Rhinolophus ferrumequinum: one gene and its partners. The protein of the gene in region 4 binds, or shares a complex with, the protein of the main gene of each other region. Links are inferred from orthologs where the notes say so. Each region holds a gene or a part of one and is shown on either strand. Other genes may lie near its edges.

Region 1 (7,334 bases), on a different chromosome or scaffold from region 4:
CCCCAAATAAAGAGTGGGAGTCCCTGGAAGGGGGCCCGAAGACTCCAGGCCCCTCACCCCCTCCTGCCTGCCTCGCATTAACATTCGGAGCCGGCAGCCGCCCAGCCTGACCTACTTTGGAGGCAGCGGGGGAGGGGGAGGAGGAAGGTGACAGGAGGAGGGAGGGGGGAGGAGGTAGCAAAAAGAGAGGAGTTACCTGGCTTAGGTTTGGAGAAGCAGCCGCCCATGGCGAGTGGCCCTCGGATGGGCAGGAGGCAGGCGCACAGATGGTGGGCTATGGGAGGTTAGGGTGCCCCCGGTGGGGCTCGACCCCCCACAGCCCTTAGAAATGCTGGAGCTTCCATCACCATCCCAGCTGGAGCTACCTTCAGGACCTGCAGGCCTGCGGTGAGGGGACAGGGGGGTGTCGATAGGGCCTAGGGCTTAGATAGGTTATATGGGTAGAGACACAGAGAGAGACACAAATGGTGGGGGAGCTTCTGGAAGAGGCCCACATTGGAGCTGGCGATTGTTGCATGTAGGGGACCAGATCCCAGAGAAACACCTTCATTTTAAGGCCCTCCGTGCTCAGCACCCTCACTGCCCCCTCCCACCTTTGCCAAAGGAGCCCCTCTGTTCCAACTTAGCCAGACTTTTAGGTCCAACCCCACCGCTGCCTTGTCCAGCAAATCTTCCCTGCTTTCTGCTGCCCCCTCAGCATCCCACAGCCTGGGAGCCCTGGGACACTCCTTTCTCCGGGGAGCCCACCAGGCCTGGGGTCAAAGCCCAGGCCCATTTGGGCAGATCAGAACCCTCCTGGACCTCGGGTTTCTCTTCACTACGATGGAGTGACATTTAGTTGTCCCTGGCCCCAGCACCCACCCTGGCCAGTAGCCCCTCTACACATACCTCTTCCATGGGCAGCCACTGCTTCTTGTTCCCAGCCCAACAGTGGATGCAGGCTGCCTGGCCCTGAAAGGCAGGGCAAGGGGGCAGGGGTCCAGGAGGCAGCCTTCACCCCTCCTCCCAGTGTGAGCTGCCACCAGGAGGGGCTGGAAGGGGCGGGGCTGGGTCAGTCCACTGGTCCCCAGGGAAACCCAGCTCCATGGTGAACAGAAGTGGGCAGCCAGCCCAGGCCTGATGGGGTTGGGCGGGAAAGGGAGGCCACAGTCCGGCCACAGGCCATGCCCGGCAGCCATGAGCTCTCACCCCCCACCCTCACTCTTCACAAGCCCGTGGTGCTGAGGTCATGCCCTGCATCAAATGGAGAAACTGAGGAGCCAAGGGCTTACCAAGGTCACGCAGCAGGTAGGGGTATCTGGGTGGCCTCCTACTCCCTTTCCTACTTAGTTCAAAGAAGGGTAGGGACCCAAGAAGCCCCGATATCACCCTGCAAGCCACTGGGCTGGGGGAGGGGTCACTAGGTCAGCAGAGATCCCTGTAGCCAAGGAGCCCTCAAAGCCACAGGATGGACCTTCCGGAAGATGCAGCTTATAGACTGGACTTCGGGAGGCCCAGGACAAAAGTGTACCTGCCCTGTTTACGACTGTCCATCCCACTCTCATCTCCTTTGTTTCCCTTGAAAGTTCTTCCTGAAGTCTAACTCCAGTGGGGCTGAGGCTTACTGGGTCTATCCCAGATCCCAGCAAGGGCCCTGGGTAGGTGCCTCAGAGCAAGGGGGCCAAGAAGACAGGACGAAAAGGTTGGGGAAGGACCACCTACTGCCTGGCACCTGATCTTACCTGCTCTAGAGGTGCCCATTACAGGCCAAGAGGCTGTGGCACCCAAAGGCCACCTGCCTGTACACCCATGCTCTCTGCCCCAGTTGTCGCCAAGGCAGATTGGTAAAATGTGGCCACCACCCACCCCTCATGCCCTCTCCCTGGGCACAAGGGGGCCCCTCCCCAGATCTGGCTTCACCTCTGGCTCAGCCCTGACTACTTCCTTCCTGCCTGGCATCAGGCCTCACCTGCTGGACCACAGATCCCAGAAAAGGTGGGACTTGCCACCAGGTGCCTGTCTAGGCTGTTCCCTCCCTTTCCAGGTGCCCAGGTATCTGGAAACTCCAGGGCCTTGGGCCTGGAAACAGATTTGCTGGGGATGGAACCTTCTCCAGGCCTACTGTGTGCTAGGCAGGTTTGGTGCCCTCCTGCCTCCTGCAGGCCCAGATACCCCCACTCAAAGGCAAAAGTCCTTGCCAGGGGCATGGCAGGAGGGGACCCCATGTTTTGGCAGAATGCTGTCCATTGCCCACCAGCTGCCCAATGGCCAAAAAGTTGTAACTGCCTGTGTGCTAACTATCCATCAGGAGCCTGTGTCCTGTCCAAGACCTCCCCACCCAGAGCCCCAGCTGGCGGAGGCTGGGGAGAGAAGCCTCTCCGGACTTCTCTGCACAGCCCCTCTCTCCCCCTAGTCCCACTCTTCACCAAGGATCTGATGGGCCCTTCCTACACCAACCCTGGGGGCTCCTGACCAGCGCAGGCCGTCAGTGGCTTTCAGCCCTTCTTGGATGGCATCCAAGCTCCTCAGACAGGCACTGGAGTTGGGGAGCAGGCGGTCCTCACCTCCTCCCCTACAGGGCTTAGGCGCAAACCTCCGGTGCACTCTCCCTGCCTTTGCACGTGCTGTTCCTCTATCTGAGATGCCCTTTCAAGTAGTCTCCACAGATCGTCCAGGTCCCCCCACCAGACCGGGTGGCCCAGGAAGGGGGAATGACACACAACACACAGTAGGGCCACGCGGCGGCGAGCCGGGGAGGACCCTGAAGGGGAGGGGAGAAGGAAGAGTGGCGCTTCTGCCCTGGCTTGTCTCTCTTTCCTCGGCTGCAGACCCCCAGCCTCCAGAGCGCCCGCCCGGGTTCCGAGACCCGCGAGGGCGCGCGCTAGCTCGGAGTGCGGAGGCTGCGGGATAGGGACCCGGGGACCGAATCGGGTGGCGGGTTCGGGGTCCCGGGAGCTGGGGGCGGGCGCTCACCTGGGTTGGACGCAGGCGTCCGCTCTGGAGCCGCTACGGGGCCGCGGCCGCGGGGCGGGGGGGGAACGGGGGGGGCGGAAGGAGCGGGCGGGGGCGGGGCTGGCGCTGCGGCGACACTGCGGCCAGGGAGCCCGCGCGCGCAGCCCCGCCCCGCCGGGCCGTGAAGGTGGGGGCTCCAGGGTCAGGGGTCAGCCGGCGGTCTCTGAGTCCCCACGCGGGTCTCGAGGTGTGAGGAGGCAGCCGGGGGCTCTCGCGGCTCTTGACGCCCCGGCGGAGTCTGGGATCCCGGAGATCCTCGCGACCCTCCGAGGCGCCAAGCTGGGGCGCGCAACGGGTCTGATTCTTTTTCCTTTTCTTTCTTTAGTAAGTCTTCGAACCATCCGTGGGCGGCGTGGGGGAAGTTAAGTCACCTGAGAAGCCTCTCCAAGAAAGAAAACCCAAATCACTCCCGCCTGCCCCCTAGATACCTTGACCCGCTTTGGGGATTCAGTCTTCCAGGTCTCCTAGCTCCCTCCCTCCCCTGTCCCCAAACACAATTTGCTCTATTTTAAATGTTATTTTATTACATTTTCTCTTTCCCACCTGTCATTATACCAGGAGAACTTCCTGGGTCCCCATAAATCCTGGTGCATCCTGGCGTTCTGTCCCCTCCTCCAGGAAGCCCTCCTTGACCAGCCTCCCCAGACTCCATCAGGACCTGATATTCTGACTCTTGGACCTCTTGTGTTTCATTTTCCTGACTATCCAGATCTTTGCGTAGTGGTTTTGTCCCTCCAGATCTTTGCGTAGTGGTTTTGTCCCTCCAGCCAACTGGAATTCTGACTATGGGGGAAATGAATGAATGATACATTCCGGGGAAGGGATGTCACATCTACCACTCACTACACACATCAGGGCCCACCAACTCTGTTGTCCTTTTATTGCTCTTTTCTGGTGGCTCGAGTTTTTGTTGCCTCTCTACTTTCTGTGCCTTGCTCTTCTCCTGTAGGGATGACAGTAACAACAGCAGTAACAGTCCCAGGTGCCAGGCTGCTCCAGTCTTCAGAGAGAGTCCTTTATTTATGCCCCACCTCACCCCGGGGGGCCACCACAACTCCCCTCTCATTTTACAGATAGGGAAGCTCATAGGCTAAGTCTCACCCAGGGGCAGGACCAGGACCTGCATGGGTCACACTCACGCAGGTAGGTGTGGGGTCTAGGGCTGGAGGGAGACAGTCACTCTGATCAGGCCAGCCCTCTATGGTTTTCACAGTGTGATTGTTGCCACTGTCATAGGAGAGGCCCATCACTGGGCAAATGGCATTGCTTGGATCTGGTTCCGTTGGCCTACAACCAGCCTGCCCCCATTCCAGACACATGCTGACTGCACCCCCATCTCACTCCACTCCCCATCCCCCAGCCAGGAAGACAGTGTGTGTACCCCATAACCACGGCTGTGGCTTCATGTGCATTTATTCATTTAATCTTCATAACAGCCTGAGGAGGAAGGTTCTCTTTGTATCATCTCCATTTACAGATGGGGAAACCAAGGTTCAGAGAGGTTAGGGATGCCCCAAGGCCACACAGCCGGTGAGTTTCAGAGCATAGATTTGAATCCTGGCAGGTTGGCTAGTCTGTCCTGGGCTTACCTGCCAGGCTCTGCCAAGGCCTCAGGCTCTCCAGCGCAGAGTTGGAGTTTTGCTCTGTGACCCATTCAATGAATGAACCCCTCTGCCCCAGGTTGCCCAGGAAACATGGGGGTAAATGTAATGGCCACTGGCTGGGGCTGCCTCCAGGACACCATGACAAGGTGCTCAGGTTGTGGTGTAAGGGCTGCTGAGTTTGGGGTGTCAGAGATGAGACTGGGGGACAAGGCAGCATGGAGGCTAAGGAGGCCAACAACTGGGGAGATTCCCTGACATGGGGTGAGTGCAGCCCTGACATGTGGGGAGTCTGCCGTGGTGCCCTTTGCCCTGGGGATTGGGCTCAAAGCTCTGGCTGCCCCATGGTGGGGCAGAAATTTTGCTCATAGAGGATGTAGGCTAGGATGCTGCCTTGTGGAGGGCCCCCAGACTGTTGGTACATGTGGACAAGGGGATCCCAGGACACTCAGGAGGCCTCTGAACCTTGGGCAATCTGAGATACTGATCTTGCCCCAAGAAAAATTCTGGTAAAGTGATAGGTCCATCCCAGTGGCTTTGATAATACCCAATGGGGCAACAGCAAAGAGGGAAATCAAACTCCAGGTTGAGATGTAGTGAGGTGAACTAGGGCAGCTGAGAGTTCCCTGGACCAGCAGACACCCCAAAGGCAGAGGGGATTGCCGAGGTTTGAGAAGCATGTGTGATGGTGACCCCTGCCCCACCCCCAGCCCTGGAGCACTCCCAGTATGCTGCAAGCCTGTCCTCGCCCTCTTTACATCTACCTTCTCCTTAAGTTTCCCCTGTTCCCCCTCCCCTCAGCCTGGTTCTCCAAGCCGGTGTGCAGGATAGTCCTTTTCCAGGTCAGAAAGTGCGATAGCTGCAATGTCTAACGTTGGCATTGACACTGGTGCCCCCTGGAGGCCAGTCTGAGGGTCAGCAGGGCCCTCCTTGAGCTTTGGAGTTCTGAGGGAAGGGGTTGAAAGAGGAGGGACGAAACCTCTGGATTTAGATGGATTTCCTAATGGGGAGATGTTTTGACTGACAGATCCCCAGGAAATGTTGGGGAGCTGATACAGCACAGGCAACATCTGAGTTGAGGCCAGCTGTGTTGAGGGGCAAGATGGGTGGAAGTGGTTCCCAGAGCTAAACGGTGATTTATTTATATGGAAGCAGAGGTTTGGGGATCCTCAGGTTGGGGAGCCCAGGTCAAACCCCCGCTCTCGGACTCATCCCTGACTCCCGAGCTTGATCTGACTACTGTAGTTCAGCCTTTCCCCTGCCCAGGTTGGTCTACACATCCTGACCATCATGTACCCAGCACACTCTGGGTTTTCCGGGGCTCTCCGACACTAGGGAGGCCAGCTCCATCTCCTCTAAACCTCTGCAGTCTAACCTGGACCCTCCCCAGGTTGCTGGCTGGCTGCCAGTACTGTCCTGTTTTCAGGCTCTGGGGTGACCAGTCCGAATTCCAGTCCACATGGAGGAAGGGAAAGGTCATGAGGGCTTTACCAGAAGGTGGCAGGAGCTGAGGACAGACAGGCACGTAGGAGAGAACGGAGAGAACGGAATCCAGATAGAAGGAACATGTGGGCAAAGGCAAGGAGGTTATGTGTCAAATTCTGGGGAATTCAGAATGTGCCGGTCCATCCTGGCCTGAGTGCTGGGTTCTGGGCGGGGGCGTGGCATGAAAGTGTCACAGGCCAGGGAGGAGCTGGGTCATGGGCTTTCATTACATGTGTCTTTAGGAAAACAAGCAAACATGCCAACAACTAGGACTGGCATTGGACTGGAAAGGGGTAGGGAGCCAGGAGGTCAGGAGACAGCTGGGGTGAGGAACGGGCCAGAGTCAGCCCAAGGGCTGGAAGGTGGGCCCAGCCCCTGCAGTCTTTTCTTAGACCTGAGGATTTTCCATCATCAAGACTGGCAACAGGGCAGACAGATGGCTCAGTTGGTTAGAGCGCGAGCTCTGAACAATAGGGTTGCTGGTTTGATTCCCACATGGGCCAGTGAGCTGCGCCCTCCACAGCCAGATTGAAGACAATGAGCTGCTGCTGAGCTTCCAGAGGGGCAGCCGGATGGCTCAGTTTGTTAGAGTACAACCTCTGAACAACACGGTTGCCGGTTCAATTCCCGCATGGGATGGTGGGCTGTACCCCCTTGCAACTAAAGATTGAAAACGGCAACTGGACTTGGAGCTGAGCTGCACCCTCCACAACTAGATTGAAGGGCAATAACTTGGAGCTGATGGGCCCTGGAGAAACACACTTTTCCCCAATAAATATTTTTTTAAAAAGAGAGACTGGCAACAACTTCCCCAGCCCCCGTGACAGCAACTTCCCCACCCCTAGTGACAGATCAGCTAGTATAAACTGCTTCAGCCACAGAGTGGAATATTGTTCAACAATAAAAAGCTGTCTACAGAAGGTTTGCAAAGACATTATAGATATTTTCGTACACGGTGCTTCTTGAAAGTGTAAACTGAGGCAATCCTTACAGAGGGCAATTAGGCAACAGCTCTCAAAATTGCAAATGTCCAGAGCCTTTGACCCAGCAATCCCACTCAGAGGAACTCATTTTAATGTGTGTGTGGGGGGAGGGGAGGAAGAACCACCTGTGATTGGAAAGGAGTCCATCCATAGAGGAACATAAATGAGTGACAATACATCCATCTCGTAGAATACTATATACAGTGACGAAAAAGGAACAAATACTCAATATGCTGACTTGGAACACTCTAAAATAGATTGGGGGAATAAAGCA
Region 2 (7,968 bases), on a different chromosome or scaffold from region 4:
ATGGGGGTCAGGGAGCCCCCGTTCCCCAGCCTTGACTCCAGATCCCTTCTTTCAGTATAGGGGAGATCCTGGCCATCTGGTAGAGGAAGGGCTGGACTGGTGGGGAGTTTAAAGGAAGGTGAAGGGTAAGAGCTGAGGTAGGAAGTGAGGGTTGGGGCCTGGGGAGCCTCGAATGTTCGCTTATTCTGATGGGCAGTGGGGAGCCATGGAAGGTTATTAAGCATGAAGGAAGGGGACTGTATTTAAAGAAACTGAAGGCAGGGAGAGCTGTGAGAGGATCAGATCTCTAATACAGGGTCATCAGTGGGGCAGGGGAGGTGACAGGAAGAGGAGAGGGTAGGCCTGAGAGACATACTCTGGTAAAAAGGGCTGACTTGGGAAGGAAGCAGGTGTGGGGGTAAGGAGGATTGAGGGGTCCCTGACGGGGTGGAGCCTCAGGCTTGTTTGGTGGATGGAGGGCAGGACAGCCTGGGGTGGAAGGCGATGAGTTGGATATTGTCCGGCTTGAGTCCAAGGTGTTTGGGGGCTTCTGGGAGCAAGTCCAGGGAGCAGCTGGAAATGTGGGGTTTACCGAAAAGGAGCCACAGGATCGGAGGGGCTGTTTTGGCTAACATTCCCAAACTGGGAAGGGGTCACCCCAGGATCTTCCCAGGGTCCCCAGGGTCCGTAACCCTATGAAGTCTGTACTTTCATATCAAGGGACCAGCAAAGATGCAGGCCCTTTCTTTCTCCTGTGGGATCCCAGGTTCTGGGCTTGGCAGAGAGATCAGCTACCTTCTTGGGGATCAGTGCTCTTCTTCGGGACATTGTAGCCATCCCTCTGCCGCAGAGCCCGGCAGCCACTAGGGCTCTGCAACCAGCATCTTCAAGTCCAAGTTTCTGCTTTGTAGAGGGACCATCTCTAACCAGCGTTAGCCTTCCCGATCCTCCAACACAAGGGATTCTCTATTAGCTGCTTGGAACCCACATTTATTGGGCAGAGACTGTGTCAGGCCCAGTGCCCACACTTTACAGGTTTTCTGTCACTTAATCCTCACAATGACCCTTGTTGGGATGGGGTACTATTATTATCCTTTCCATTTTACAGTGGAAGGAAGCAATCGAAGCTTCCAGGGCCTTGCCCCTCTCCACTGTGGGGGTGGGTGGTGGGTCAGGGTTCGCACCCCTCGGTGAGAGCGGCAAGGCTACTGTGTGACCTGGACAGGCATGGCAGGTCACACAGTATCATCTATACTGAGCATCATCTATAGAGTAAGGGACCCATCCCCGCCACAAACCCCCTCTCAACCGCTGACTTCAGGTCTGCAGTTCCAGCTTCCAGGACTTTCCCAGCCCCCATCGCGGTTCTGTTCCTCCTGGCCCAGCTTCTTTGGGAACAGCCAGGCCTAGGCTGTGCTCCTGGCAGCTCTGCCACCTTGGGCTCTGGTCCGGGGGTGGTCCCTGGCGGTGAGGGGGACGGGCAGAAGCTGGTATTGTTCAGGCTAAGATCCTGGGCATCAGGAGACCCCCCGGCTCCCATCTCTGTGCTCCACATTAGGGTAGGCAGGGCCCTTTGGAAAGGGGTGGCTTGAGGTTTTAATCACTTTATCAATGTTTGTTTGTGTAATTCAGCCTCGAGATGCTTTTCCCTCCATCTGTCCCCACCATCTGCTCCCATCAGGATTTTCCAAACCATTTGGGACCAAAGAGGGAGGGTGGGGGCTGGGCCTCTTAGGGAAGTGGGGAGGGGCTACCTCCACTTACCATATTGAGAGGCTTCTAGGGAGGGGCCTGGGCTCCTGAGTCAGACAGAACTGGGTTCAGAGCCTGACACTGTCTCTTTATGTATTACCTTAGGCTGGTGACTTCACTTCTCTGAAGCCTCAGTCTCCACATCTGTAAAATGGAAGTAACATTATTGACTCCTCAGGTTTAGTGCAGACCAAGTGAGATGACACATGCAAAGCACTCTGTACACAGTAGGTACTCAAGAGCTATGTGGTCCCCTCTCCACTCATCCCCCACTTGCTTCTCTCTCTGACATCCTGGGAGCTGGTCTGTCCCTTTTTATTGCTAGACGGGGGTAGCCACCCCTCACGTCACTCCTCACATGTTGAGGACATCCCCTTCCTTGGGACTTGCCCTCTCTTCCCTCTCCCATGGACCCTGGCTACTGCTCAGTTCCTTCAACAACCACCTTTTACATTTACCCTAAGATGTATCTCTTCTCTCTCCTAGAGGCCTCAGTCTGAGGTGGAAGGGGGCTGAGTATCATCCGCAAGGACACCTCCACCCCACTCTGCAAAGGGCCTTCATAGAAAGCAAGTCAACAGGGTGCAGGGTTCCAGGGCCACTGGGGCCTCATCTTGTGTCTGCTCATGTCTAGAATTTCAGGCCAGAGGGGGCCAGTGAGGCAGTAAATGAGGCCTGTCATGTCAGTACTCTGATCTGGGGGGATGTCAAGGCACCAAGGTCATCTGTCTAACCTTTCTGGTCAGAAAGATGAAGAGACTTACTCCAAGTTATCTAGAAGTGAGGGACCCAGGCCTCCTGACAGCTGCCCCTCTGCCCCCCTTTCTGGGCTATATCTCAAGACATGAGGTCTTGGGCCAAGGGCCTTGGCGTGCAATATGGGGAACTCCCAGCCTTCCCCTTTTGCTCAGGGGGGCCTCCCATTGCTTCTTAGTCCCCTGGGAGGGGAGAGGTGGCTGATGGGAAGTAACCAGCCAAGCCTACCAGGGCCCAAACTCTACTTCCAGATCCATCCTACTCATTCGAGGTGCAAGGAAAGTCAAAGGGAGGTGGGGTACCCAGCGTAATGAGAAGACATGGTCCCACCTTCAGAAGCCCCATCTATTGGAGAGACAGGATGCAGACTGGGGGTCCTGAAGGCAGGGCATCAGAGTCACCCACACAGAGAAAAAAAACAGTGGGGCTAAGAGAAGTAGGCTCCTGAGCCAAGGAGTCAGCCTCGAGGAGGTGAAGCTGGGTCAGGGAAGTGGGAGGAAGCAGAGAGAGTGGCTCAGCAGCCCCCGCGAGGGTAAATTGAGACCCACAAAGATGGAGAGTAGGAGCCAGAGCAGGCTGTGAAGATTCAGAATCAGACAGGCGGGAGAGGAAGGAGGAGAGGGAGGAGGCCTCCTCTCTCTGCCTCAAGCACAGCAGACCCTCCAGGCCAGGTGGGGAGAGTGGAGAGAGCTTGTCATTCAGGAGGCCTGGGGGGAGGGCTGAGCAGCAATTCTCTCCCCACCCCCAGGTCCTCATGCAGGAAGCAGCTGGGAACCACCCACAAATGTCTAGGTCTCTCCACCTGGCGGTCCCAACCCCAGAGCCAAGGTACATAGAGGAACTGGCTCTGGAGGGCCCAGCTGCCTTCCCAGTCCCTCACAGCCTGGCTGCCCAACTCCTCCAGTTGAGAACTCCCCTTCCCATTTGCCCTCAAGCAGAGGTACTAAGGCTTGATCTGGGAACCTGGAGGTGGCTGCCATGATTTGGGAGGAGCTGTCCAGTCAGAAGACAAATGCTGTCAGCTGACCTTCAAAGTATAATAGCTCCAGAAACCAGACCCCTCTCTGCCACCTTGGTCATCTATCACCCTGAGTTTTCTCCCTGCTCCCGCCTTGGCCCCCACTCCTCGAAGTCTGTTCTTGACAGAATGCCCTAGTAAGCGTGACCTGGATGTCAGACTCTCTCACTCTGCTCAAAGCCCCAAGAGCTTCCCATCTCACCTGGAATAAAATGGAAAGTCCTTGGCATGATTCTAAGCACTGCCACCATCCCAGCCTCTTCACACGGATCTCAACTTTTTCCCAAACACTTACCTATTACATTGTAGAACTGACTTGTTTACTGTCCACCCCTTTAACCCCACTGCTAAGACTTGCTGGGCACAGAACTAGTGCCTGATAAATATGTGTGAAATGAATGGATGAGGGCACATGGATTCAGATCCAAGCCTTCCATTCTTTAGCTGTGAAACAACGGAAAAAATCATTTAACTCCTCTGAACCTGTTTCCTCATCTGTGAAGTGGGGACAGTAAGGACCACCTCTTAGAGAAAGGACAAAATTTGAGCCCAAGATGTGGAGATTGTTGCTGAAGCTGGGGGAAGGGGAGTGCAACCCCCGTTCTGGCAGGAGGAGCTGATAGGGGTGGGTAACTCTAGAAAGGGGCTGTCCAGTCTGCAAGCAGGGGACCAGCCCACCTCAGGACCCCCCCTAGCTGGAGATAGACGCTCCCCAGCCCTCACTGGCAGAGGGCTGGGGAGGAAAGGAGGGGTTTCCTTGATTGGGGGAGGGGAGTGGGAGGAGCAGTTTAGATCAATGTTGGGAAGTGGGATTCATTGGGAGGGGTCCCGGGAATGAGATCCGGAGTGGCGGGCCGGAGATGGAGGGTGGGCTCTCTAAGGTGGAGGTGGGGTGGGGGCGCGCCTGGAGGAGAGAGCGCTGCCCCCTCCCAGAAGACCCCCCAGCTCAGTTCCGTAGTTGAGGCGCTGGGGGTGGGTAGGGAGGGCACACTTGAACCGCCAGGATCTGGATTCCGCTCGCCGGGCAACGTGCGGCTTCGCACCCAAGTATGGGTAGGGGAGGAAGGTGGTGGAGCGTCCGGGGGTAGTCCCAGCTTAAGAAAGAGTCTCTGGGCACTGACCCCCCGCCACCCCATTCAAACTACCTTAGTGGACATGCTGAGGATATGGGGACCTCGGGCCTCCTCCCCCGGCATGTGCTCCCTCGTGAGGGGGGCCGGGAAGTGAAGGCGTCCCTTTCCCTCCCCTGGAAAAGGGCGGGGGCGGAGCCTAGTCCGTCGCTCCCCCCGCCCCCAGGGCTGGAGGAGTGAGGGAGGAACGGGGACCCCCCCCAAGGGAGGGACTCCGGGCGAACGCCGCGGGGCGTCTCCCTCGCAGTCCCTCTCCCCGCCCCCCGCCCGCCCTTCAGGCCCGTCTCCGCTGCCGCGCGCCGCAGCAGCGCCGCCTTCCCTGCGCAGTCGGTGGCTCCACGTCGCTGGGTGAGTGGGGGCCGCTTTGGCCGGGCTGGGGAATGCGGGGAGGGGGCAACCCCGAGGGAGGGAGCCACGTCCAGGGCTCCCCAGCCCCGCCGCTGCCTCGTCTCCCGGGAACCCTCTCTCCGGGTGCTCAGGGAGTGGGGGCTCCTCAGGGTTATCGCGTGGAGCTCTCCAGGGTCCTGACCGCTGAGTGACCAGCCGGGAGGAGTCTCGTTACAGCCGCCTCGGAGCGCCCCCTCCAGGAGGGGCCACACGCCGGGTGCTCTCCGAGTGCTGAAAGGATTGAGGCGGGGGCTCAGGGCGAAAGATGGGGAGAGAGGTTCAGAGAGGGTCCCCGGGGCAGGTTTCTCAGGTCGAGCTATGGGTCCCTCCCATTTTGGGAACGGGGGGTCTTTGCGAGACAACAGAATGTTTTACCACCCTCGTTTCCAAGTCTTCCAACTGGGAGGGGCAACTCTGGGTGGCAGGGAAGAGGGAGCATTCTAAGACCTCTCTTGCTCAACGCATCTCTCTGCCCTCGCCCTGATGACCCAGTTGCTTGGACCTTCAGGAGAGGATTAAGGGACACTGTCCGCCGCCCCAGCCCCAGGTATTTCCTCAGTCTCCTCCCACACACTTGTTCAATGTGTCCTCATCCGGGGGCAGAAGAGGCTGATTTAGAAAGGAGGGTGACCAATTTACAGACACACGCATGTGACACACTGCTAAGGACACACACAGACCCCCAAATGGCCACACAGACACATCCCCCCCACACCGTCATAGGTGCATACCTAGTCACAGGCACAGACATGTACATGCACAGATATGGAAACACATGGGGAGATAAATGCAGTGCAGAACCCAGGGACACACAGGCATGCATGAGCACATGCACTCACACACACGCTCATCTACATGTGCACAGAGCTTTGTGCAAATGCACACAAAAGGAACCCCCCTCATCATCTCACAGTCCCAAGTTGGGGGGCGATTCACCTGCACACACTCCCACATCCCTGCCCAGAACTGCCTGGCTGTCTCCTCTCCTTTGCCATCCCCTCGGTCCTCCTCACTCTAAGCTCCTGCACTGAGGGGACCTTTCTGGACTAGATGAAAGGTAAGTGTTGGCGGAGGGTTGGCAGGCTATGAGTCTCTCTGGAAAAGGGGTCCATTGTAAGTCTGAGAAGCATCAAAACTCCCTTTCCTGGGACCTAACGGCACCCCTGGGAAGAGAAAGATGGCAAGGGTGCCCGACGGTCCCATGTGCAGCTGGCCATGTGAGAGGTGTCAACATGGGAGTTGGTTTGTGGTGGCATGTTTGAGACATGTGGGATCGTGGGTTGGTGTGTCTTGATGCACAGGGTATGGGTGTTGTGCCTGCGTGGTGCTGAGTGTCAGTACATGTGAGATGTGGAACAGAGGGAATGTTGTGTGTGGAGGTGACCCATGGATGGGTGTGGGCTGGTATGTGTGTGGCATGGGACCCAGTGTGTGGATTTGGTGAGTTGTGTAGCATATGTGTATGTATTCATGTGTGTTGTGCATGAGTTTTGTAGCATCTGGTACATGTAAATCACATTTAACACTTATGTAGTATTTATATGTGCAGGAATTGTTCTAAATGCTTCACATGTATTAACTAATTTAATCCTCACAACAACGAGGTAGGTACTATTACTCCCACTTTACAGATGAGGCAGAGAGAGTTTAAGGAACTTGCCCAAGGTCACATAGCTGATAAGGGCAGAGCTGGGATTTAAACCCAGGTGGTCTGGCTCGGGAGCCCAGGCTAACACTTACCTTATGCCACCCTATGCCAGGCACAAGTGTGTGGGTGAACAGGCCAGTGTCTGGGCTGCAGGTGTATTTTGTGGTGAGCAGGCATATGGGAGACAATGAGGGGACAGTGGGTAGGAAGGAGGAGGAGGAGGCTTTTCTGCACCTCCCTGGGCAACTCTGGAAGTCAGCCCGGCCATTCCATGGCTGTAGGACCTGAACTAGCTCACCTCAATTCCTTGATCCTGCCTTCTCCTCTGTAAAATGGGTCTAATCCCCAGGCTTCACTTTGTGATGGTGAAAGGATACACACCTGTGAAGGCTCAGCGGCTGCCCTGAGAAGGGCTTCAGTAAATGTGAACCCTCTTCTCTTCCTCTGTCTCCAGGCCTGTTCCCTGGGGAAGTGTAAGGTCTGGGAAAATGGTGTGGAGCACATCACAAAGGCAGGATGCCTGGGTGCAGGCTGCGTGACCTTGGGGTGGCTGGTGTCTGGGGGCCCACCTGGAGTGGTGTCAAGGGACCAGGAGGGCCTGATCTCTCCTCTCCATTCCTTGACCCCCTTGGGGACATAGGTGGGACTTGGCTCGGTGGCCATGGGCAAGCAGAACAGCAAGCTGCGGCCGGAGATGCTGCAGGACCTCCGGGAGAATACAGAGTTCTCAGAGCTGGAGCTGCAGGAGTGGTACAAGGGCTTCCTCAAGGACTGCCCCACCGGCATCCTCAATGTGGATGAGTTCAAGAAGATCTACGCCAACTTCTTCCCCTACGGTGACGCCTCCAAGTTCGCTGAACACGTCTTCCGCACCTTCGACACCAACAGCGATGGCACAATCGACTTCCGGGAGTTCATCATTGCACTGAGTGTGACCTCGCGTGGCCGCCTGGAGCAGAAGCTCATGTGGGCCTTCAGCATGTATGACCTGGACGGCAATGGCTACATCAGCCGTGAGGAGATGCTCGAGATTGTGCAGGTGGGCCCCTGGGCCCCTCAGAGTGCCAGGCACAGGGCCCAGCAGCTTGCACCCACCATCCCTTTTTATCCTCTCGACAGCCCTTGTGGGTAGGTAGTGGCAGGTGCTATTCTTACAGCCTCTTTATTAGGAAATAATTTCCAATTTAAAGAAAAGTTAAGTAAACTCTCATATACCCTTTACCCAGATTCATCAATTAACATTTGACCACATTTGCTTTATCATTATGTGTGTGTGTATGCGTGTTTGTAATGTTTTG
Region 3 (7,468 bases), on a different chromosome or scaffold from region 4:
AATCTCCTGCTTCCTGACACACAGACCCCCAGGACAGTCTTTCCCAGGGAGCAGGAGGAGCACCACCAAGGGTGGTAGTCACACTGACTCAGGTGTGACCATCGGGATTCCCCTCTGGGCCCCACTCAGCGTTGTAGCCAGCTGTGCTGTGCCCAAGGTGGCCTCGGACACCAGGTGATGCTTATGTATGCCAGGGCCCCAGGACCAGCTGTGAGTCTTCAACTGGGGGTCCTGGGAATCTAGCTCTCCATGACAAACACTTGTCAAGGATCAAATTCTTGGGCCCAGCCTAGACCTAAAGAATCAGAAATCCGGGAGGGCCACCCAGCCCAGGCCTGCTGCTATTGAACAAGCCCTCCAGGAGATTCTGACATTTGGGAGTCCTTCCTAAGCGCTCCTCTCCTGACTCCACACACAGAGTCCCCTGAACAAAGAGCAGATGGCTCCACTCCCCATCAGAAGGAAGCCCATCTGGGGCCTTAGAACAAGCTGGAGGCTTTCTCTGTCTGCTCTTCCTGCTGGAAGACTTTTCATTCAACAAACCTGTGGACCTACTAAGTGCCAACACAGCCAAACAGACCAAGGCCTGTGCTGAGGGAGCCGGCATCAGAAAATGAACCCCCCACCACCTCCACCAGCCCACCCCAAATAAGGGCTCTAGGAAAAACAGCCACTATCTCCTTGATCAAAACTGTTCTATGTATCCAAAGGCATTTAAAAATAGTCCAGGCAGCCCAGCACCACCAGGCCAGTTCCTAACAGAGCCTTGTTGACTCAACTTCTCTCCAAGGTGACAGATCTGCCTGGAGAGAGGGGGCTGGACAAAATGCTGCCCCAGGTCCCTACCCATCCAGAATCCACCACCACGTCTTATAGCAGAAACCAGACAGGGACACACAGAAGAAAGGTCCCTCCTGACTTCTTGGCATGAGCACTGCGGTCTCTCAAGAGACATAACTTTGGAGATGGACAGACCTGAGTTCAAGTCCTAACACTGCCTAATGACTGGCTGTGGGCCCGTGGGAATGCCACTCACCTCTTTGAGCCTTAGTTTCTCATCTGTAAATGGGGAGAGGAACAGTGCCCACTATGCACAGGGCTGTTGCAAGGATTCAATGTGCTAACGATGCAAAGAGCTCAGCGTGTGACGTGCCCCATAAGCAGGAAACCTGACTTCATTCAGCTCACAGGTGGCTCCCCTGCTCCCCGTGATGGAGACAGGCCAGTGCAGCCTAAGGCCACATCTCATGGCAAAGTCCACGTGCCCTCTGCCTCCCAGGAGGTCCCGCCTGCAGGCTGTCAGCTGACAGCTATGGACCATATCTGGATGGAGCCTGAAGGCCCAGCAAATCTCACAAACCAGCAGCCAAACTGGGAAGGGCTACCCACCCACCTTGATAAGAGGGTCAGAGGAGCAAAGATGGAGTTCCTGGTCCTTGGAGCCTTCCCCCTTCAAGGAGCAGCTACTGGAAGATGAGCTCCTTGCTGCAGAATTCCACTGGAGAAGGGCCAGGACCTCTCGGCAGACTAGCCGCCCACTTAGGAAAGCCCCCTTTGTTCCAAGCACGTGGGGGCGAGGGACATGGAGCTGAAGCGTGGGCTTGGACAGACCTGCAAATGTGCCCAGAAGACCGATGGGGGAGGGAGCAGAGGTTGTGCAATGCACCACCAGAACCTGCCTCCCAAGCCTCCATCAACGCACAGGACTGGCAGTCAATCTGCTGCCTCCAGGGAGGGTGCAGAGGGGCTGGACCCACGCAGGTGCCCGGGTAGGGTTCTGAATTCCAACCCAAGCCCAGGGACACCTGCCCCTTTCCAAGTCAGACGTCCAGGCAGAAGTCCTACCAGGCTGGAAGCTGTCCACCCTGTCTCCCAAAAAGAAAGACCCGTGGGTCAGGACGTAGTGCCATTAACCCCTAACACGTCAGCGCATCTGCCAAGAGGCTGCATGCAGGGAAGGGAGAAGTCTGGTAAGGAGAAATTAGAGCTGCGAGGGACTGTAGAGTTGTGAAGTTGGGCAAGTGGAGAGATACACACTCGGACAGATTCAGAGAAGCCGGAAATGGACAGACCCACCGCTTTGGGGTGCCTCAGACGGTTAAATGCTGAGAGGGAGCAGATCACCCATGGCTGTATAAACCCATTTCCCAGTTTAGCAGATAGAGGTAGGAGGGGGGAGGTGAATTCAGGGCCAGAGGAGAATTCAGCCTGTAAATCCTGCAGCCAACAGGGTGCCCAGGACCCTTGGATGCAGCTGCTGCCACGAGCTCTCTGACAAGTCTCGCCACCCCCCACACACGGAGGCCAAGGAGGGGGCGACAGGCCAACCTCGCAGTACCGGCAGCGGCAGCAGCAGCAACGGCGGCGGCATCGTGATGCATGAATCACCCGCCCCGCCGCGCTCGTGCCAGTCGGCTCCGCGCAGCCAGAGCCACCTGGAAACCAGGCGCCCCCTGCCCGGACCACCGCCCCTGGCCCTTGCACACCCCTGCCCTTTCGGACAGCTCTGCAGAGAGGGGGCCTAGGGTGGGCTGGGGCTTTCCCTCCACGCCTGGGGGTGGCCCCGCAGACGCTGACAGGCGGCACACGTCCCGAGCGTGGGGGGCTGGGTGCCCTAGAACAATAGGGCCAGGTGTGGGGCTGAGGGTGCAACCCGGGCCTTCGGGGGGTGGGGGGGCCGGATCGAAGGCAGGACAGGGAATGACCCAGGGAGGGTTGCGGCGTTGAAGAGGGTGGGGAGTGGGCCCGCAGAGGGGACAAGGGGTTTGGGTGGAGAGACCACGCGTGGGGGAGGGGCGCGGGGGCGCGGGGAGGGGGTCCCAGGCGCGCACTCACAGTAGGTTTTCCTGGTCAGCTCCTCCACAACTTCGGGCTTCAACTTGCTGTTGGATTTCCCCATCCTCGGCAGCCGCGGGCCCCTGTCCCCGGGCCCGACCCCGGCGGGGCGCCCAGAGGGAACGGTTCGGCCGACGCGGGCCGGGGCGGCCGGGGCTGGGCGCACGGAGGCCGGCGGGCCGAGCGGGGCCGGGCCGGGCCGCGCCTTTGTCTGCGCCGGGCCCGCGCGGCCCGGGCGCGGAGCTCCGGCGCGGGGCGCTGCGCTGCCTGCGCGTCTGGCGGCGCCTCAACTGCCCTGGCCGCGGCGCGGGCCCGGGCGCGAGGGGCAGCCGCTGGGCAGGCCCGGCCGTCGGCCGCCGCCCTCTCCCGGCGCCGCGGCGCGAGCTGCGCTGGGTTGGGCGCCGACGCGGCCGCGGTGTTGCCCGGTCGTCCCTGGTTACTGGGCTCCGCGGCACATGCTCGCTGCTGCGCTCCCTGCGCCGCCGCCCCTGCGCTCCCCGCCTCCCGCCTCCCGCCTCCCGCCCGCACCCGCGCGCCAGGGGTGGACCCGGAGCCGCCACTCAGCGCCCGGCACCTCCTCCCGCCCCGCACCCGCCCCGCCCGGCCTGCGCCCGTGGATCCGCCGCCCCCTGAACACTGAGCTGGGGCGGCAGAGGGGCGCTCCCTTGCCTCACTGCGTCCCGGGGCGGGAGGGGGGGTCACGCTGCCATCCGCCTTGAATCGATCCCGGGCATTCCAGTTCCCCCCCTCCCCCCGCACCGCGGAGCAGGGCTGGGGAGGGCCCGGAAGACTGACGTGAATGAGGCCGAGTCTCTGCTCGGCGAATTTCATTCATTCGACACGGATTTGCTGGGCGCTGGGGCCACAGCTGTGCACAGGACAAGCGCGGCCCCAGCCCTTACGGGGTGGCGCGGGCGGGGACCGGCATTGCGGTGCAAGATGTCACATCTTATAGTGGGGGCACCTACCGCGGCCTGGGGGAAGGTTACCTCCAAGCCCAGGGGGACGGGGAGAGAGTGATTGGCAAAGTGATCAAGGCCCTGAAATCCTGGAGGAGGGAAGGACGCCTGAGCCCAGAGGGACAGCCCTCCTGGCCCAGGGGCTCCAGGGGCAGGGCATGTATGATCTGAGGCCAGAAAGAAGGGGAAGCCCTCTCCTCCACGGAGCTAGGCCTGTGGGATTTAAGGCGAGTGATGACAGGGTCAGCTCTGCCTTTTCTACTTCTCTGGCCTGCATGTGGAGGTCGCTTCCTGCAGGTGTTGGGCAGGAGTTAAGGCCAGGCCAGTGGACAGGACTCCACCTGGATGGACAGAGGCAAGAGGATGGGCGTGAGGCGAGGCTGCGAGGGAAAGACTCTTCCCGCCCTCCCCCATGTACAGTGTGCTCCCCCATGTACAATGTGAATGTGTTGCCACTTTTCCTATCCCGGGTTCAGCTTTATCGTTTTTTTTCCTTAGCAACTATCACAGAGAGAACGTGTTTTATGTATTGTGTTTCTGCTGTCTCCCCCACTAGACTACGAACCCCCAGAGCGCAGGATTCTTGTCTTATCTGTAGGTGTATCTCCAGCACCTAGAAGGCACCGGTAGCCGCTCTGCAAACCTCGCATGAGGAAGGCATGAGGGTGCTGGGCGCCTGGGGGTGGACAAAGCAGGGGAGGGTGAGGCGAGGATGAAGTGTGGGCAGGGTCTCTTTTTCTCTCCACTTTGGCAGTGTTCAGACCTCAGGATGGGAAGCACAGAGTAGCTGGGGAGACAGAGAAAGAAAGCCTGACTGGCCAGGCATGCTTCTCAGCCTCCAAATGCCCCATCCCCAAACACCTCCATTCCAGCTTTTCCCCTGAAGGCCTTGCCTGGGTCTGAGGGGCTCTGAATCGGCCAGACCAGCCTGAGCATCCCGCCTGGGAGGAGGGGGAACCAGCATGGGGACCAGGGCCTGGTCAGGACAGTGACAGTGGTAGCATTAAAGCCCCATAGAAATCCCAATGCTCCTGTATTTCTTGCCCACTGCCCATGTGCCAGGCACTGTGCTGGGTCCTGGGGACACTGCCATGACCCATGTCCACGTCCTCACAAACCACCCCTCCCCCGACGTGCCCCACAGGGGTCTCCAAACCACAGTGGTGACAAACGCCACAAGGGGAATGGCAAGGGTGCTGGGGGACTATGCACAGAAACATCTGTGGAAGAGGGGAGTCAGGGAGTTTCCTGGAAGCTTTGCAGATTCACTCTATCGTTCAGCAAATATTTATGAGCACCTACTATGTGCCAGGCCCCAGAGCATATAGGCAAAACCCGTGCTGTCATGGAGCTTACAATTTAGTGAGGGGAGAGCAACATAATAATAAAATCCATGAGTAAAATGCCAGAGGTGAAAACATAAAAGTAGGAAGGGAAGGGGGATGGGAAGTGCTGGAGTGGGAGGTGGTAGCTATTTAAGGGTAAGGGAAGACTCACTGAGAAGGTGATATTTGGACATGGACCTGAAGAAGGGGAAGCCTCCAGAAGGCTCACTCAGGGCCTCCTCTCCTGCCTCATCTCTTGGTTCCTCTAACAAGCAGTTGTCCCCCCACTATCTCCCACTTTCCCCACCCCGACCCCCGCACTCTGGGCTGATCTCACCCCCCCATTGTAGTGAATGCCTAGACCTTCAAAATCTTACACAGAAACCCCTCGCACACACACCCATGTGACCATTGAAATGTGGCCAGTCCCAGTGGAGGTGTGGTAAGCAAAAAACACACACCAGATTTCCAAGGATCATATAAAATAAAAGAATAAAAATAGCTCATTAATATTTTTAAAAATGTGATTATACATATTAAACTGATTTTTTGGATATAATGAATTAAATATACTATTAAAATTTATTTCACCTATTTCTTTTGTTTTAAAGTGCCTTACTACAAAATTTTAGGTTACACATGCGGCTCACATTATTTTTCTGTTGGATAGCACTGTCTTGGGTGAACTTTCAAGTCTCCATTTAAACATCACCTCCATGGAGCCTTCCTGGATCCCCCAGGTGAGCTCAAGTCCCAACACCTATACCTACCCACATGGCACCTGGTCCTTTTGCAGCACTTCATGTGATTGAAGGAGGCCTGTCCAAGGAAGTCCTTTTTGTTCCTGGGAGCTGGGTGGGAACAGGGATCCAGGTGAGGTGGGGAGGGCGTGGGGGAGGAGGAGGGGTCCCACTGAACCCCCAGCATGAAGCTCAATGCCCTGCGGCTCAGGTTGAGTCCTGGTCCTGTCACTTTGGGCACATCGCTTCCCATGTTCTCATGGGCGAGTGTTTATGAGGATCAAAACTACTCGCATAAGCACATGACAAAGAGTTCATATCTTTAACCTATTATGAACTTGCTAAGCTCATAAGAAAAAGATGATCCCTCAATAGAAAGTTGGGGAAAGCACCCGAATAGGTGACAAGAACAAGAGCAAATGCCAGCCGCTAGTCCACAGGAGAGACCTCCCTTACAAGTCATCAGAGAAGCACAAAATGAATTGGGGGGAAAAATTACAGTTAATGATCATACCCAGTGTTGGCAAAGGAGCGAGAAAATGGGCATCCAGACGCCGCCAGGCAAGGTGCAAGTTGGTACAACCTTTGTGAGGGACAGTTTGCCAATAAATATCCATATTTTCGGACTCAGCAATTCCACTTCTAGGAAATCAACCTAAGCCAACAATTAGAGATCTGTACAAATTTAAGCCTCGGTGATGTTACTGCAGCAGTATTTACAACAACAAAAATGGAAGCGACCTACATATCCAGAATGAGGGATTAGCCTATCAGACCATGGGATCCTGTATATTAAATTATAGCACAGCTGGAAATCTAGTCACATGGTATAGGTCTGCTTACAGCACAGGAAGCACAAAAAGCTTTCACAACCTACGGGATCATCCCAACTGTGTGAGGGAAAAACTCCGTGGGCGTCACTGTGTATTTTAATTAAGTAGTTTTTAATCATATTTTTTCTCCAAATTCAAAAGATTGTCGAAAGTATATAATCCAGTAGCGCCTGAGAAAAAACCAGTCTGTATGGTACACGTGTCCTGTGGGAAGAAGGATTCCCTGGTCAAATGCTTTTGGGGAATGTGGCATGCTATAACCAAGCTCTCCAAGAGTCACCTTGCACATTTGTATTTACTCAAAGGCTTTGAGAAGCCCTGCAAGAAAGAAATCGGTTTTATTTAAGTATTTTCCACATTTATTTGGCCATTGAACCTGTTTTTTTCCTTAACTCCAGTTAGCATTTGAAGAACCATCGTCCTGCGGAAGAAATATCCACAGGAACCCATTGGTGTCCAAGTCCCACTTCTCAGGGAGAAAGGATGTAGAGCAGCAAAGGCGGCATTTCGTCGAGGTAAGTGGGACACCCTGAAGCCTGCTGAGGGTTAAATGGACGGGGGTGAAGCGGCTCGCCTTTAGTAAGTATATTCACAGGGCAGGCAGTGCTGGAGAGAGCCCAGCTGTGACCAGCTCCTTCACTGTATCGGACGTCCCGTGGTGCCTGGCACACAGTGGGCACCGGATAACCACGCTGGGGTCAGCCCAGCTGATTTGCCCGGTGATCCCCACAACATGCTTCCGCAGGCTGCGAACGCCAGCCCATGCACGGGCAGTG
Region 4 (7,379 bases):
ACTGCACTTCCTATGATTCCAGTGCACGAATGTAGCTCCTTTCATTAGCGTAAAGCACTGTGAGCGCATCCTGAAAGAAAAGCCTAAGAGAATACGGGTTAGTTTGAATTATCATAATCTAATTGCAAATATTATACTTTAGAATCAGTAACATCGAAAGAAACTATTCCCCTTCAATTCGTATATCACTTTTGAAAACATTTTAAATATAGAGGGTGCCAAAAAAATGTATACACATATTAAGAAAGGAAAAAACTGTGTTAATATATACCTATAACAAAAGATGAATACAAGTCACGTTTGACTTCTGCAATTATAAGAGGTGCTCAAAGTGGTTACCATCAGCTTCCAGGCACTTCTGATTACCGCAAACTACTGCTTGAGCAACGTTGACCAAAAGTGTTAACATCTCTTAAAATGTGTACACTCGTACATTTTTTTTGGCACCCCCGGTATTATAAGACAAGAAAATTTCCAGGAAGCCAAAAAACAGTGGAAAACTTTCACAGTAAATTGGAGAATCCTTGATTTCTGCAGGTATTTCATAAAAAGTGTAGCAAGGCCTACAATGACACTTATTTGGGGAAAGAAAGTGAAAGTGTATATATAAGGAAAATCTTCCCCTCAGTGAGAAGAAATGAAACTCTACCAACACTGGGCTAAGGACTTTAACATTTGCCATTCATTCATCCAGCAAATATTCATTAACACTAAGTGCCAGGAATCCCAAAGACATGAACCCTGTTCTAAGACACCTTCAGGTGAGGCAGGGGCTAGACACATGTTATTTAACTACTGTCAAGATAAAAAGCTACGAAAGTACAGTATGTGTAAGGGCAGGGAGGCAAGCTGGGGGAAGGAGGACAGAGATTTGAAGAAAGAATAGAAGGAAGGGGGGAGACTGAATTCCAGATGTTATCTCATTTAATCCCCACAACTGGAGGTTAAGTTTACTATTAAGTATCAGCACCAGACTTTGAACCCAGAATTGAACGACTCTAGAGTCTATGTTTTTCCCACCGTGCCACACAGTTTCTTCCCCAAACCGTTTCCTCTGATACTTAGTGGAAAAATGTTGACTCTACTTCAGAATCCAAATGCCAGAACTAGGTTCTGTCCTCCAGGCTGGGTCCTCTGCTTTTCACCTGCCACCTCCTAACTCATTTACTATAAAGACCTCTACATTTGGGATGCTAATGAACTTAATTTGTTCACCCAGACCATAATCATACACAAAAACAACCAAAAAAAAAAAAGAAAAAAAAAAACCTTCAAAGTTTTTTTTAGGTTACCACTTTGCTGTACTATAAATAAAACACAGAACTTTCTGCCAAGCAGTTTTGCAAAATAATTCATAGATTATAGGGAACCAAACTAATTAAAGAGCTATAGACACTGGTCAGGGCAACAGTTTGGCAGAGAAAAATAAAAGCAGCTACACAAAGAGCAAAGAAGCTGTACTTTCACTTCTGAAACGACTTCTAATTCAACAACTCTCATCTGTGACGGGATCTCTACTCAGGGCTGCACTTTCCCTTCTTCCTGTTCCTATTTTCTCTTTCTCAGCTCTTCCATTCTTAGGACACTCAAACTTCAAAACAAAGCTTTTATTACATTAGACCTATTGTGAGTAATAGCTATAGAATAGTCTTATAAAAACCAAATTTGACAAGCTTCCTCTTCCTCTACATTCTTCTCATTTTTACTGCTGACTGTAGAACATAAAAGCTAGATCTTTTAACCTAAGGATTCACCACAGGCAAATTATAAATCATTTAAATAATCCTATATTCTCCCATCTCTGCAAGGTAGCAGAATTTTTTTAAAAGTTTATCCAAAGACCTCTACCTCCTACCTTTACCTCCAGGACTACCATCAATACTGCAAATGACAAGATGGCTATGAAAATCAGACAGATCACAGACACAGCAAGTTATACATCCAAAAGACTCTCATGACTTTCCGTTTAAAAACATATTTGTAAATATATAGATAGGGAGAGTGAGTGTCAGAACCAGCCACTGTAACAATGAAGAAAGAGGAATGACAGGGTGTGGCTTACAGGAGTGAAAACTGATGTGGAAATAGAACTCAACACTCAAACAAACGCCTGATGCATTTCTTCTGCCCAAGGAACAGATAGTTGCTAGCAGGAAAAACCCTAAAGTACACTATTCAAGAAAGACCATTACTCAATTTCTTGAAGCTTGAGGCTACTTCGCAAAGTTAACAAAGATGCTGGAAGAATTATATACTGTTTAGGAAACTTATGGATTATGTGGAGCAACGGACACCTTACATCAAAACACTATACAGTAATTACGTAGGGTTTATAAGGTAAGTTTATATTTTGAGATTCTCTGGTAGTGACATTTTACAACATAATTATGGTCTGTATAGCCTGGTGAATTTCCTCATTGAAGGTGAACTGCAGCGAAATGTTTTATTATTCGTTTATTGCTAGTCACGTTGTTCACACAACACCTCTATAAGTAACGTTCCCTTTGAACTGTAGTGTTATATTGACCCGTGTTGTGCCATCGAAAACTATCGTCCAACAGGCTCTTTTCCCCGGACGCGCCGTAAGCATATGAGTGGAACATTACACAGAACTTTTATATAATAAAAGTATTCAATGTCTCCGATCCTTAATATATGAGCACCCACCCTGGTAAATGACAAAGACAGCAACCAATCGCCAGGCAGGATCCCAACGTCTCAGCCAATAAGAATATGGGGGTGGGGTTACACTAAGCTCCCGGTGACTTCCCCGCACCCCAGAGACCCAGGTTGTGGGGGACTGGAAGGGAATTGGACTCCGAGGATCTCGTTACCCCCGGTTGTAGCTGTTGTCCTCCTCGTTCTCGCAATCGCTGCAGTGCTCATGGCCGTTTCCGTTCCCTTCCATCATCTGCGGCCGCGGAGGTGCCGGCGACTTCACTGCTGTCTCACTCTCGTCCGCCATCTTGAGTTGCGAGAGCCGGCCTCCACGCCTCGCTACATGGGGGGTTCCTATTGGACGAGGGGAACTTGCGCTATATTCTGGGTTTTGTAGTTTTTGTGGCGAAGGGAGCCGTAACTAGGAGCGGCTCATTCCCGGGAAACCGGAACAAGGTACACTACAGTACCCAGAAATCATGAAGGGAGGCTGTCCTAGGTTGGGGGATCAGCATTACTCGGAAGTCCCGGGCATTCGGCCGCGCTTTGAGGAAAGGAGAGATCCAAAGTTGGCGGGGCCGACGCTCCGCGACCGGCGGGCCGCGTGGCATGCTGGGAATTGTAGTTCGATGCAAGTTTAGGGTTCGGGCGTGGAGGCTCCAAAATCCAAGGTTTGACCTCAGCCTGCCCTTGCTAGTGCTTGGGCCACAGGTGAGCCGTTATTGGCTGCCGTTAAGGACCGTTATCACTCCTGGGTAAGTAAGAGGGCTTGAGGCCCGTGGGGCTGCCCATCGGCAGCCTGAATGCGTCGGGCCTTCGCTGAGAGGCTTTCCTTCAAAAAGCCCAGTTGACTACTGGCCGCCTTTCCTCATTCGGAACTCTGGGCGGCCCGTGGTGGTTGGTAATTCAAGGCCTCACGAGAGGGGGTGAATTGTGCTGTGCGGAGCACTGATTCTGAGCCAGGAGTCTTGACTGCTCGGTCAGGCCCTGACGCTCGGGGCCTCCGGTACCGGTCTCCACGAAGCTCTTCCGCATACTCTCCCTTTCATTCTCCACAGCAGCCCTCCACAGTTACTCATTATTGAGCATGTATATACCAGGCTCTGTGGTAAGGCTTTTCGTATTTTTCATTTAATCCTCTCAACAAGCCTGGAACGTGGGCGCTGTTTCCGTTTTTCACAGACGAAGAAATGTGGCCCAGATTGGTTGGTAAATTGCACAGTCACATAGTTAATAAATGGCAAAGTCAGTATACGAGTCTGGATCTGTCTGCTTTTAGGCCCTCTGAATTCTTTAGCGCTACGTAAGTCCCATTGTCTGTTACATATACCCATGGAAATCAGTTATTAGAAGGTAATTGCAACACTTAGTCTCTTTTTAGCCTCGACTGAATGCTTCAATCCCTTGGGTCTCACCCCAGTGAGTGAGTAATCCTACCTGAGTTGGTTTCTTGTGTGTTTGTTTGTTTGTTTGTTTGTTTTTAAGGAAGGCTCATGTAGGGATCAAACTGGCAGTCTTGGTGCTACCAGCACCCCGCTCTTAACCAAGTGAGCCAATGGGCCACCCCAAGCATATCTGAGTTTTGAGGAGAGAGCCCAAAGACAGGGTTCCCATTCCGGGAGATTTCCCATTCTGGTTGGGTTGTGGTGGGTGGTGAGGGAAGGACAAGTTCTTAACATCAGAGAGCAACTTGGCCAAAAAGGGAAATGATCTTTGCCTTTGGGAAGCTCGCAGTGCGGTAAGAAACAGTCCCCATCTGACTGAGTCAAACAAAACAAATAGAACAGAGCTAAATATAGTCGACTCTTCGTTTTTTGTATCAGTGGCAAGAGCAGCAGTAAATGTCCAAATCAGCAAATAATCCCCAATCATTTATCCTTGACTTTAGAAGGCAGTCAGAGACACCAGCTCAGGCTAAGAGCCATCACCTACACTCATGTCTCCAGGGCCAAGACTGCTGTCAACACAAGGTCTCATGTGCAGCTGCAGGTGAAACCTTTTGTAAGTGTTTCACCTGTTGTAGCTCATGTGACCTTGTGAAGTAGATAGGGAAGGGGACTTGAAGAAAATTGTGCTTGCAAAATAAATAAATAAACACCCAATGTGATATATAGATGATGTTTTATAGAATTGTACACTTGAAACCTATGTAATTTTACTAACCATTGTCACCCGAATAAATTGAATTAAAAAAAAAAAGTCGCAGTGATACCTAGTTGCAGAACCAGAACCCACATCTGGTATTCTAATTCCCAACCCGATATTTTCTTTTCTCACAGATATGCAGAGATTAAATGAAGGCTAATGAAACATGACAAGGAAGAAATTATAGGGAATGAAGGTGCTGGTTTCTATGGACCCTGCCATTCTTGGAATTCAAAGCTTAAGTATCTGCTTTGCTTTGTACAGCAAACTGAGCAGTTTTTGCTCAGTGGAGAGCCTTTTCTGGGAAGTAGGCAGGCTGTATGACTGTAGTAACCAAGCTCAGAATACAAGTACAAGCCCAAAGTTCTGGAATCCAGCACCTCAGAATCTCAGAGTTAGAGAGGACCTGAAAGGCTTTTATTCCCTCTCTATTAGGAGTTTTCAAGTTAGAATCCTCACTTAGATTTTGTAGGATCCATGATTTCTCTTTAATAAAATTGCAATTTTATGTTTTAAAAAGAAATTGAGTATATGTGACACATTTTTTAAATAAGCGCTTGTGATTTTAGTGCCTAAGTTTACTTTTGAGTTTACAGTCACATTGATGCAGAATGATCACCCAAAGCAGTGCAATATAGTTTCCTAAATTGGGTCTATGGATGCTTTCTTGGGGTTCCAAGAAGTTTGTTTGTTTTTTTTTAATTGGGGAACAGTGTGTTTCTCCAGGGCCCATCAGCTCCAAGTCGTTGTCCTTCAATCTAGTTGTGGAGGGCGCAGCTCACGGGCCCATGTGGGAATCGAACCAGCAACCCTGTTGTTCAGAGCTCGTGCTCTAACCAACTGAGCCATCCGCCCACCCAAGAGTTCTTGTATTTGCTCCTCCCCACTCCCCCATAAGAGACAGCCTTCCATTTTCCGACAGCTCTCATTGGTGGAAAGTTGGCCAAGTTCTGCCTTATGGGATCATGTAGAAACATAATCCTGTGTCCTTCTAGATGGTTGTTACATATTCTACAATTAATATATGGTTCCCTAAAATTCTTATTTTTTCCAAGGTAAACATTTGCAGCTTTCTGAGCGCCTCATCACACTAGAATAGTAGGATTCTCCCATCGAGCTCTGCTGGCTCTTCCTCCCCACCCATTCTGGCAGGAGCGTTATATGAAGGTAGTGGGGTACAGCAGGGCCCCGAGGGTGACCAAGAGATGTGCCTGTGAAGTTCTACAGGTTCTGGAATTTGCTCCTAGTGTACATAGTGCCATTATCCCTTCGCGGTTACGGGGGACAGTAGAATATAGTGGTTAAGAGAACATGCTTCAGAGTCTGACTCCCTGAGTTCTAAATCCTGGCTCTGCTTTTACCTAATGAGTGGCCTTAGGCAAGTCACTTCTCCTCTCTGAGCCTCAGTGTCCTCTCTGTAAAATGAGACAGTGTACACAGAACACTTAGTAAAGTATCTGGGACAGTTAATACCTAATAAATTTGTATTTCCCTTCCCAGGAAGTCAGCATTGCTACTGTGACAAAAACTTTCTCATGGTGTCTATACAAATCAAGGCCCTTGCTGTACTCCCAGCAGCATGTCAGAGATACCTTTTCTTCTAATGGGCCTGGGAAGGCATGAGCCAGGTTGTGGTTCATTTTTCAACACCCTGGAGCACTAGTGACATGTCAGGCTCTTTGACAGGAACTAGAAAAGCAGGGATAGAACCACACCGTCCCCGTCCTGGGTTCATTCCATGAGTCGGTGGGTGCATAGACTGACAGTTACATAACAATGCATGAGAGAGCGGTGGAACACAGGACGTAGCAGGAGCCTAGAGGAGGGACTCAACCTGAAGAAAGGCGTCCTGGAGGAAAAGACGGCTGAGCTGAGTTTTCATAGGGGAAGCAGACAAACGGGTGGACGTCCTAAGCTGAAGGTACGACAGTCCAGCTGCCTGAGTAGGGTGCTTTTGAAGTATTGCAATGAGGATGATGCGCCTTGGGCTTAGCGTGTGAGGAGCATTTTGGAAGTTGAGGCTGGAGAGGCAGGAGTCAGACCATGATGGGGTGTTTGGGGTTTATCCTGAAGACTCAGGAGCTACTGATTGTTAGCTGGGGAGAGAGAGGATCGCATTTTTGCTGGTGAAAGATCATACTCTAGGGAGCAGACTGACTGTCCTGGGGAAGACAGTTTTTCTCCTCTGAGTAAGAACAGGGCTGGTGGGCTCAGTCGTGAACTAAAGCATAGGGAGATGGTCTTTGGCAGCTTCCTGTCCCCTGGAGCTCACTTTCAGGAAGGGTACCCTTCCTTCCTATGACATCTCCTGACACATGAGCCTGCAGCACAGTGGGCCCAGCCTTCTGCTTGGTGAGGCGGGATTTAAGAGAGAGTGTGGTAGGCGTTCCCTGCCCAGAAGGTACTTACAGTGAAATTGGAAAAACCAGCCTCGCTTGAAAAAAAATAACAGGGCCTGACTGGCTATGATGAAATGAGCGAGATACAGTAGATAAGTTAACTGAAGTTGGGGGCAGGGCAGGGATGAAGCTTTTGGGGCAGCATTGTTAGAAAAGGCTTGGAGAAAGCAGACTTTG

The links.
Region 1: the proteins of NMT1 (region 4) and AIFM3 are in contact, whole or in part, in a crystal structure (PDB 6SJZ), measured with the Homo sapiens proteins. The link is inferred for Rhinolophus ferrumequinum from reciprocal best matches to the Homo sapiens genes NMT1 and AIFM3. Residues at the interface, in NP_066565.1 of Homo sapiens: Tyr180, Val181, Glu182, Asp183, Asp184, Asp185, Phe188, Arg189, Phe190, Asn246, Thr282, Ala283, Gly284, Tyr296, His298, Phe311, Tyr401, Ser405, Ile469, Gly470, Asp471, Asn473, Leu474, Leu495, Gln496; in NP_001373743.1 of Homo sapiens: Gly2, Cys4, Phe5, Ser6, Lys7, Pro8.
Region 2: the proteins of NMT1 (region 4) and HPCA are in contact, whole or in part, in a crystal structure (PDB 7OWM), measured with the Homo sapiens proteins. The link is inferred for Rhinolophus ferrumequinum from reciprocal best matches to the Homo sapiens genes NMT1 and HPCA. Residues at the interface, in NP_066565.1 of Homo sapiens: Tyr180, Val181, Glu182, Asp183, Asp184, Asp185, Met187, Phe188, Arg189, Phe190, Tyr192, Ile245, Asn246, Phe247, Thr282, Ala283, Gly284, Tyr296, His298, Ser300, Lys310, Phe311, Ser312, His313, Tyr401, Leu403, Ser405, Tyr420, Gly468, Ile469; in NP_002134.2 of Homo sapiens: Gly2, Lys3, Gln4, Asn5, Ser6, Lys7, Leu8, Arg9.
Region 3: the proteins of NMT1 (region 4) and NCS1 are in contact, whole or in part, in a crystal structure (PDB 5O9S), measured with the Homo sapiens proteins. The link is inferred for Rhinolophus ferrumequinum from reciprocal best matches to the Homo sapiens genes NMT1 and NCS1. Residues at the interface, in NP_066565.1 of Homo sapiens: Tyr180, Val181, Glu182, Asp183, Asp184, Asp185, Met187, Phe188, Arg189, Phe190, Tyr192, Asn246, Thr282, Ala283, Gly284, Arg295, Tyr296, His298, Ser300, Lys310, Phe311, Ser312, Tyr401, Leu403, Ser405, Tyr420, Gly468, Ile469, Gly470, Asp471; in NP_055101.2 of Homo sapiens: Gly2, Lys3, Ser4, Asn5, Ser6, Lys7, Leu8, Lys9.

What each region holds. Positions count from the first base shown.
Region 1 is NC_046308.1:23,362,733-23,370,066, reverse strand, and holds the start of AIFM3 (apoptosis-inducing factor 3), read right to left. Parts: upstream 3,016-7,334; 5' UTR 2,953-3,015; intron 2,714-2,952; exon of another isoform or gene 2,544-2,713; intron 952-2,543; 5' UTR 889-951; intron 383-888; 5' UTR 228-382; coding exon 197-227; intron 1-196. UniProt on the Homo sapiens protein: Induces apoptosis through a caspase dependent pathway. Reduces mitochondrial membrane potential.
Region 2 is NC_046292.1:22,515,644-22,523,611, forward strand, and holds the start of HPCA (neuron-specific calcium-binding protein hippocalcin), read left to right. Parts: upstream 1-4,964; 5' UTR 4,965-4,983; intron 4,984-5,514; exon of another isoform or gene 5,515-5,569; intron 5,570-7,310; 5' UTR 7,311-7,331; coding exon 7,332-7,709; intron 7,710-7,968. UniProt on the Homo sapiens protein: Calcium-binding protein that may play a role in the regulation of voltage-dependent calcium channels. May also play a role in cyclic-nucleotide-mediated signaling through the regulation of adenylate and guanylate cyclases.
Region 3 is NC_046295.1:78,469,649-78,477,116, reverse strand, and holds the start of NCS1 (neuronal calcium sensor 1), read right to left. Parts: upstream 3,016-7,468; 5' UTR 2,900-3,015; coding exon 2,836-2,899; intron 1-2,835. UniProt on the Homo sapiens protein: Neuronal calcium sensor, regulator of G protein-coupled receptor phosphorylation in a calcium dependent manner. Directly regulates GRK1 (RHOK), but not GRK2 to GRK5. Can substitute for calmodulin. Stimulates PI4KB kinase activity.
Region 4 is NC_046304.1:39,890,506-39,897,884, reverse strand, and holds the start of NMT1 (glycylpeptide N-tetradecanoyltransferase 1), read right to left. Parts: upstream 3,011-7,379; 5' UTR 2,966-3,010; coding exon 2,835-2,965; intron 1-2,834.